Linked DNA regions of Macaca mulatta. The protein of the gene in region 1 purifies or fractionates together with the protein of each later gene. This does not show direct contact. Links are inferred from orthologs where the notes say so. Each region holds a gene or a part of one and is shown on either strand. Other genes may lie near its edges. The genes, in order: SELENOS and DERL1.

The links.
Region 2: the proteins of SELENOS (region 1) and DERL1 purify together in Homo sapiens (affinity purification with western blotting; 6 studies listed by BioGRID and IntAct, with this or other methods). This does not show direct contact. The link is inferred for Macaca mulatta from reciprocal best matches to the Homo sapiens genes SELENOS and DERL1.

What each region holds. Positions count from the first base shown.
Region 1 is NC_133412.1:91,636,383-91,640,742, reverse strand, and holds the start of SELENOS (selenoprotein S), read left to right. Parts: upstream 1-1,405; 5' UTR 1,406-1,477; coding exon 1,478-1,553; intron 1,554-2,215; coding exon 2,216-2,350; intron 2,351-3,532; coding exon 3,533-3,639; intron 3,640-4,212; coding exon 4,213-4,302; intron 4,303-4,360. UniProt on the Homo sapiens protein: Involved in the degradation process of misfolded endoplasmic reticulum (ER) luminal proteins. Participates in the transfer of misfolded proteins from the ER to the cytosol, where they are destroyed by the proteasome in a ubiquitin-dependent manner.
Region 2 is NC_133413.1:133,452,644-133,456,458, forward strand, and holds part of DERL1 (derlin-1), read right to left. Parts: intron 1,478-3,815; coding exon 1,366-1,477; intron 1-1,365. UniProt on the Homo sapiens protein: Functional component of endoplasmic reticulum-associated degradation (ERAD) for misfolded lumenal proteins. Forms homotetramers which encircle a large channel traversing the endoplasmic reticulum (ER) membrane.

The DNA.
Region 1 (4,360 bases):
CCTTCACAGCCTAACAAAAGAGGTCAGGCAACCCTGCTCATCCTGTCTAGTTTATCAGTATTTAGATGTAAGGTGGATTTAAAGCTAATCTGGGACCGAGAATTGCAGCTGTAATTCCAAGAAGTCATTGAATTTAGCACATAAATGTTTCCTGCAAGATGCCAGAGCAAGTGAGAAACCACTCTGTAGCAAAGCAAAGAGTGATGGTGGTTCATCATCTTTTACAACTGAAAGGCAAACATGAAGAAGGAAATTATATTCTCTCCCCTAAAATTCCTCATTAAATTGATAAGCTATCTTTACAGCCTTTATGGATGACATCCAGAGTCCTCGGTTTGTTCATTTGAGGAGTCCATTTTCAAGGTGGCCAAAAGGGGAAAAAGGGCTTTCAGGTTTCTCTTTGCTATGGCTCATGAATGCCAGGTCTCCTTTATTGCTTTCTGAACACACTGCTGGGAAACCTTGATGAGGTCAGTGCTCAAATCCCTGCAGCCGTCCCCCTGGAGGAACTTCTTGGCAAACCTGCGTTGAAGAAACACTGATTGCATTCACGCTTCATGTCGGGGTTTGCCTTCCCCACACTGCTCCTGGCGACGGTGGTGAGGCAGCACTCGGATGTTGTCACCTGTTCATTATTTTTTCAGTTCTATTCCCAATTCCTAACCCTTCTTTTGAGACACAACTAGGTATGTGCACTTCAAATGCTCCAGAAAAACCCAAGGTCAAATTTCAAATAGGATGGTTATGGTCACCATAAAGGTGGTGACATTTGAGTGGTGGAAGAGGGTGCAGGACGACATTGCAGGCAGAGGAACACAGCCAGGACACTATTAGGAGTAACTCTGATCGTGGCTTGTGATGATACAGTATAATTCAACGCAGGTTAGAGCCGTTACTATGATCGTTCTTTCCTAAGAAGTTTTGATTTTGGAGAAAAGAACCTTGAGGATCGGTGGGGGCTTTCTTGGCCTGAAAGGTATCACTGGCAGCAGAAGCAGGAGGCTGCCCGTTTCGTGTTTTCACTTGGGGTGGACGTTGGCTGCAACCCTCAAACGCTGGGAGTCGTCAAACTACTGAGCCCTGTTGTCCAATGTGCCCTGGGCAAGGATGTGGGTGCAAATCCTGCCTCCGGGCGACCACCGGCCTCCTTGGCTTCAGTGTCCAATTAGAAAAAAAAAAGAAAGTAGAAAGTCGGTAAGAAATCCGTGAAAGAGGTCTGTCCTCCACCCCGACTCAAGCCAGGAGACATCACAGAACGTACCAGCACGCGACGTCCGGGCCCCAGCAAATGTAGCCGGGATTTTTCCCCCGCCACGCCCCTCGGCCACGCCCCCTGCGTTTGGCCCAGCGTCGGGGCGGGGCCGGCCTGCAATTGGCCGGGACCACGACCGCGTCCGGGCGCGCCACGTGTGCGTGGGAGCGCACCGGAAGCGTCCGGCTGGAGGCGCGGCGGCCGGCCTGGGCGGCGGTGGTCGTCATGGAGCGGGAAGAGGATTCCTTGTCCGCGCGGCCGGCCCTGGAGACCGAGGGACTGCGCTTCCTGCACGTCACGGGTGAGTCGTTGCGGGGCAGCAGGGGCACGCCGCCACCATGATCGGTGGGTCGTCCTTCGCTGCTCGGGGCGCCGGAGCCTGGGAGGCCTGGGAACGGACGGGCGTTGGCGCTTACGCGGACTCTGGGCAGCAGGCCCGGACCTTGCGCGGAGTCTTCTCGGGAGCCGCACTTCCTTAGGCGGCTCGGCTGGCCATTGTTTGCGCAAGTCTTTTTTTGCGAACCAAGCCCTTATTGTTGTAGTTACTGGGGTCACTCGGCCCTTGGCGTTTGCCTCTGGGACCTGCCCCACACAGCCCCCTACACACTGCTAACCCCGCGCTGTCACCCCTTTATATGTGGTTCCCTAGGTCTGAAAGGCCTTTGCCTTCCTGATTCAGATTAGTTGCTCTTCATTCTTCAAAACCCAGTTGCTGTGCCCTGCACACTCTAACTGCCCCCTATTCCCCAGATGGTTGAGAAGTCTCACTTCTCAGTGATCCCTGAAGTGTCGCACTTCTTGTTCATATTTTAACGATCTACTTAGGAGGCTTTGTCCTCAGCCTAGACCATGAAGGCTTTGAGGTCAGGAGTTAGACTGACTTTGCGTTCGTTGAGTCTTATGGAAAGGTCAGCTAGTAGTGTCATTTTTAGTTTTTTTGAAAACTTTTTTTTTGCTTTTCAGTGGGCTCTTTGCTGGCCAGCTATGGCTGGTACATCGTCTTCAGCTGCATCCTTCTCTACGTGGTCTTTCAGAAGCTTTCCGCCCGGCTGAGAGCCTTGAGGCAGAGGCAGCTGGAGCGAGCTGCGGCTTCTGTGGGTTAGTGCCTGATAACCGAAATGAAAGCGGTGGTTTTACACCTACTTCTTTATATTAAGATTTAGTCTCTTGTTAAAAGTAAGACGGACCACATAGCAAGACCCTGTCTCTATTTAAAAAAAAAAAAAATAGCCAAGAGTGGCAGCACACACCTGTAGTCCCAGTGCTTAGGAGGCTGAGGCGGGAGAATAACTTGAGTCTAGGAAGTCAAAGCTGCAGTGGGCTATGATCGGGCCACACAACACTCCAGCCTGGGCAATTGACTGAGACCTTGTTTTGTTTTGTTTTTTTTTCTTTAAAAAAAAGGAAGTATATGGTTCTTGGTTGGGCGCGGTGGCTCACGCCTGTAATCCCAGCACTTTGGGAGGCCAAGGCAGGCAGATGACTTGAGGTCAGGGTTCAAGACCAGCCTGGCCAACATGGTGAAACCCCGTCTCTACTAAAAATACAAATATTAGTGGGGCATGGTGGCAGGCGCCTGTAATCCCAGCTATAAGGGAGGCTGAGGCAGGAGAAATCGCTGGAACCCGGGAGGTGGAGGTTGCAGTGAGCTGAGATTGTGCCACTGCACTCCAGCCTGGGCTACAGAGTGAGACTTTGTCTTTTCTTTCTTTTTTTTTTTTTTTTTTCTGTGAGATGGAGTCTAGCTCTGTCGCAAAGAGCGAGACTATGAGTAGACATTATGAGTAGAAATTAGTTCATTTCTACTCATAATGCTATTTGGAAGGATTTTTCTTTTCTGTAGAAACAAATACTTAAGAATCTTACTTCTGGGCTAATTAAGGGATGGATAATGATTTAGAAAACTTTGTATTTCCTTGGTAGTCTTCCAGGATTCCAGTCAACCTAGAGACTGTGGGTGTCACTGAGGTATCCAAGATGTGCTCTGGCTACCATCCCATGCTTTATGAATCGGAATTGCTCAGGAGAACTCAGAAATTGGCATTTCTAACAGGTTGCTGGTGATGTAGATATTTGAGGCTAAAATCCATGGCTCGGCAACAGGACCCCTGCCCCCTGAAGCAGTAAAATATATGCAGAGGGGTTAGGAGTACTCATGTAAAAACGTGTTTCATTGTCTGATGTCCATACCTCTTTATACTTTTAATAATATGGACACTCAAAAGTTTCTATTTTATATTGTACAGAGTGCTTTGTCTCCATTTTTTTCTGACATTTTAGAACCTGATGTTGTTGTTAAACGACAAGAAGCTTTAGCAGCTGCTCGATTGAAAATGCAAGAAGAACTAAATGCGCAAGTTGAAAAGCATAAGGAAAAACTGAAACAGGTATGAACTGGCTTCAGTTTGAATGTGTACATAGAAGTTGTCTGAGGCTTAGTGGATAATGATGCCTGTGTGTGTGTTGTCTATAAGCTTCCAGGACCAGGTCCTATCCCATTAGATTCAGTAAGCATTTTAGTTCCTGTGATGTAAGTGTTGGTGATATCAAGAAGTATACACTATTGTTAGGGAACACTAGATGTGTGAATATATTACAATGAAAGGTCCAGAGCACAAAAGGAGGGACAGACTGGAGCAGGATGCATGTGAGTGTGTGCGTGCATGTGCCTGTGTCTCCCACATTACCAAAAATGTACTGATAGGAATGAGTTTCAGAAGAATGGAGTCAGTAATTTTTTTCGTGAAACATTTTGCTTTCTTTAATAGTGTACAAAAACCAAAGCTTCTCTATGTGAGTTAAACTCATACCACCAGATCACAACAGTTTTATTAACTAAAGAAAACGAGGGTGAAGTTTGTTCTGAAAAACGTTTAAATTAAGAATTATCAGAGTTAGTGTTGTCTTTGACAGAGATGGCAGCTTCTGAACTCTTTCTGTACAATGTGATTGTTTCTCAGCTTGAAGAAGAAAAAAGGAGACAGAAGATTGAAATGTGGGACAGCATGCAAGAAGGAAAAAGTTACAAAGGAAATGCAAAGAAGCCTCAGGTGACTGGAGACCTCGGCCAGCTGGCATGCAGTAGATAAAGATTGCCAAGTAGAATGT
Region 2 (3,815 bases), on another chromosome or scaffold:
CTGATATGGTGGTGAGAGGACTGGTCGTCAGTTTCACTTCTGCCAAGTTACTTCACTTCCTTGAATCTCCTATTCATCTTTTGGTAAAACTCAGGAAATAAACTAGGTTTCTCCCAATAGTAATAAAATAGTCTATGACCTTATACTTTGTATTAATACAATTTCTTTATTTTGAAAAAGAACCTAGTAGCAAATGCCAATTTAAGGAAAAATGTTACTTGACATCAAATACCCATCCTACTATTTCCCTGCAGTGATGAGGCTGATTCACAATTCTCAACCACATGAACACTGACTTACATTTAAGGGTGGTTCAGAGTTCTCTACCCTGAGGTAACAGCCAGCAAGTTTATAAAGTCTCTGAAGTCAGTCAGCCTTTTCAAAATCATTTAAATTTAACAAAATTATATCCATACTGTAACACAGCGTACTGATGCATTGTTTCTTTAGTGTAAGCGACTCAGAAAAGCATATAAGGTATCGTAGGAAATAAATGACAATTCAGTAAGATTTTTCGAATTTATCCATAATATTACGTAGGTTGGCTGGGCGCGTTGGCTCACACCTGTAATCCCAGCACTTTGGGAGGCCGAGGCAGGCAGATCACTTGAGGTCAGGAGTTTGAGATCAGCCTGGCCAACAGGGTGAAACCCCGTCTCTACTAAAAATACAAAAATTAGCCAGGTATGGTGGCAGGTGCCTATAATCTCAGCTACTCAGGAGGCTGAGGCACGAGAATTGCGTGATCCCGAGAGGCAGAGGCTGCAGTGAACTGAGATGGCACCACTGCCCTCCAGCCTAGGCAACAGAGCAAGACTGCCTCAAAAAATAAATAAATAAATAAAATATTACATTGGTATTCATACCTGATAAACTATTATATATCATTAAATCTTGGTTATATACTGTACTTTAGAGTTGAGTTTTTCAATTGGAGAACAAATCTAGGCTTTTAATTACATAAAATAGTGTTTTTCAACCCCAATCTAGGAGACATATATACTCCAGCCCAATTCTGCACTGAAGGACAAGGACTGCTGCAAAAGAAATGAGTGAGACTGTCAAAATAAATGAGAGGTATACAGCTTAGCCACTAAGGAGATGGACAAGACATGTCAACCTCTGATCTGCTACTTTTTGCATCTATAAAATGGTAACACTGCTACTTATACCTCAGGATGTTGTGAGGATTAAAAATTGAATAAGCTAAGTGCCTGGTGCAGTCCCAGCACAGTCACTGAGCATTTACTATCCATACCCAGTTTCTTTTTGTAATGCTAACTGCCCTCCAAATTCCTCCAAAGAAAACACATAGATTAGTAAATGAGAAAGAAACAATACTTAAAACAACTATGGGTAACATACCTGTTTCAAGTCGTGTAGAATACTGATATAAGAAATACAAATTGACCAAATAAAGAAATCCAGTTCCTGGACCCACAGGGAAATAAAAGGTGGCAGTGATTGGCCTCCAAATCTGTCCAGATCAAAATAAACACAGCTGTTAGTTTCTGTAAGCCTGCTTATTTTTTTCCCTTTTAACTAAACAAAATAAACCCTGCAAAGCATCCTCCTCAATGAGAGGTATGAAAGTGATACTACCAACACAATTCAAGAAAACAGCTGAAGAAAAGTGTTCACACCAGTTACGATCACATCAATTTGCAGATCAATGGAATAAAACGACATCATAAAATAAGCAACAAATATTTCTAAACAAGTTGAAACAAAATCAATACTATATGAGTACATGATCAGTCTTTACTAAGATCAGGCATACAAGTAAGCCTACATCAAAAAATGAATTACAAAGGCTTAATTTCCAACAGTACAGTAATGCCTCTATTTAGGGAAAGAATATTCTAGAATGACAAACCTTGTCCAAAAATGCCACAAAGGCAGAAGTAAAACAACAATTTTTTATTCAAACCAATGCACTAAATAGGCAATAGGGGCACTTTTTCTTTAAAAACATTTCCCTGAAAAAACAAAACATAAGAAGGGTCTAAAGTAATAAGTAGGCCAGGTTCAGTGGCTCATGCCCTGTAATCCCAGCACTTTAGAAAGACGAGGCAGGCAGATCACCTGAGATCAAAAGTTCAAGACCAGCCTGGCCAACATGGTGAAACTACGTCTCTACTAAAAATATAAAAATTAGCCAGGTGTGGTGGCAGGCGCCTGTAATCTCAGTTACTTGGGAGGCTGAGGCAGGAGAATCGCTCCATCTCAAAAAAATTAAATTAAATTAAATTAAATAATAAAGTAACAAGTAAGCCTCATTCCCAACTTCCAGTCTCCCAGTTCCAACAACAGCTGATCAGTGTCCTGTATTTCCTCTAAGAAACACATGTTACTATTACTCATTCTTCTTTATTCTACTCTATATGGCACTGTTTTATACCTTGGTTCATTCCCGACAAAATATTTTAATTGGTTTCACAGTATTCCTTGTATGTGAATGTCTAAACTTTTGTTTAAACTGTTACAATGCCACAATGAATATTCCTGTAAATCCTCTTTATATGTGCATATACAGAATAAGTTCCTGTCAATAAATCTGCTAGAGCAACAGACATAAGCATTTATTTTGGTAGATACTGCCAAATGCCTACAAAAATGTCTGCTCGATTTATACTTCCTCCTAAAAAGTAGATGACTGCCTGTCTTCTCTCCATACTCTCACCATTTCATGTATTATATATTCACCAATCTGAAAACTAATTTTTATTTGCATTATGAGAAGTCAAGCACCTTCTCATGTTTTAAAAACCTGAGAATTTCCTTTATTCATCTGTTCTTCTGGATTTACATTTCTTTTTTTTTTTTTTTCCCTGAGATAGGATCTTGCTCTGATGCCCAGGCTGGCGTGCAATGGCATGATCTTAGCTCACCACAACCTCCACCTCCCAGACTCAGGTGATTCTCCCACCTCAGCCTCCCGAGTAGCTGGGACTACTAGCATGCACCACCACACCTGGCTAATTTTTGTATTTTTTGTAGATACAGGGTCTCATCATGTCGCCCAGGCTCGTCTCAAACTCCTGAGCTCAAGCGATCCACCTGCCCTGGCCTCCCAAAGTGCTGGGATTACAGGCATGAGCCATCGCACCTGGCTGTATTTCTTCAGACATTATGAAATTTCTCTTTCTCATCATTGCAAGCATTTTCTGATCAGTCATTTGACTTTCATGGTATTTTTGCCATATTTTGGCATACAAAGGTTTAATTAAATGTAAGCAAATGTGTCCATGATGTGTCATGTTTAGAAAGTCTTTTTGCTCCAAGAATGTAAGTGTTTACGGTTTTATTTTAGCACTTTCAAGGTGCATCCAAGGAATGAGGAAGAGATCCAACTGTTTTTCTAAATGGTTGCCCTGTTTTCCCAATGCCATTTACAGAGTAACCCTCATTTTTTCCAATTATTTGTAAAACTACTTTCATTGAACATTTACACTCTAGCCTCTTTTATATTAAGGTCTATTTTAACACCATTATGTTTGGAATTGATTCCTATGCCAATATCAAGTTATTTTACTTTTTTTTTTTTTTTTTTTTTTGAGACAAGGTCTCAGTCTGTTGCTCAGGTTGGAGTGCAGTGTCATGACCACAGCTCACTGTAACCTCAAATTTCTGGGTTCAAGCAATTCTCCACTCAGCCTCCCAAGTGGCTAGGACTACAGGCATGTACCATCGTACCTGTTTAAATTTTTTTTTTTTTTTTTTTGGAGACGGGCTCTCCCTACGTTGTCCAGGCTGGTCTCAAACTGCCAGCCTCAAATGATCCTCCCACCTCAGCCTCCCAAAGTGCCGGGATT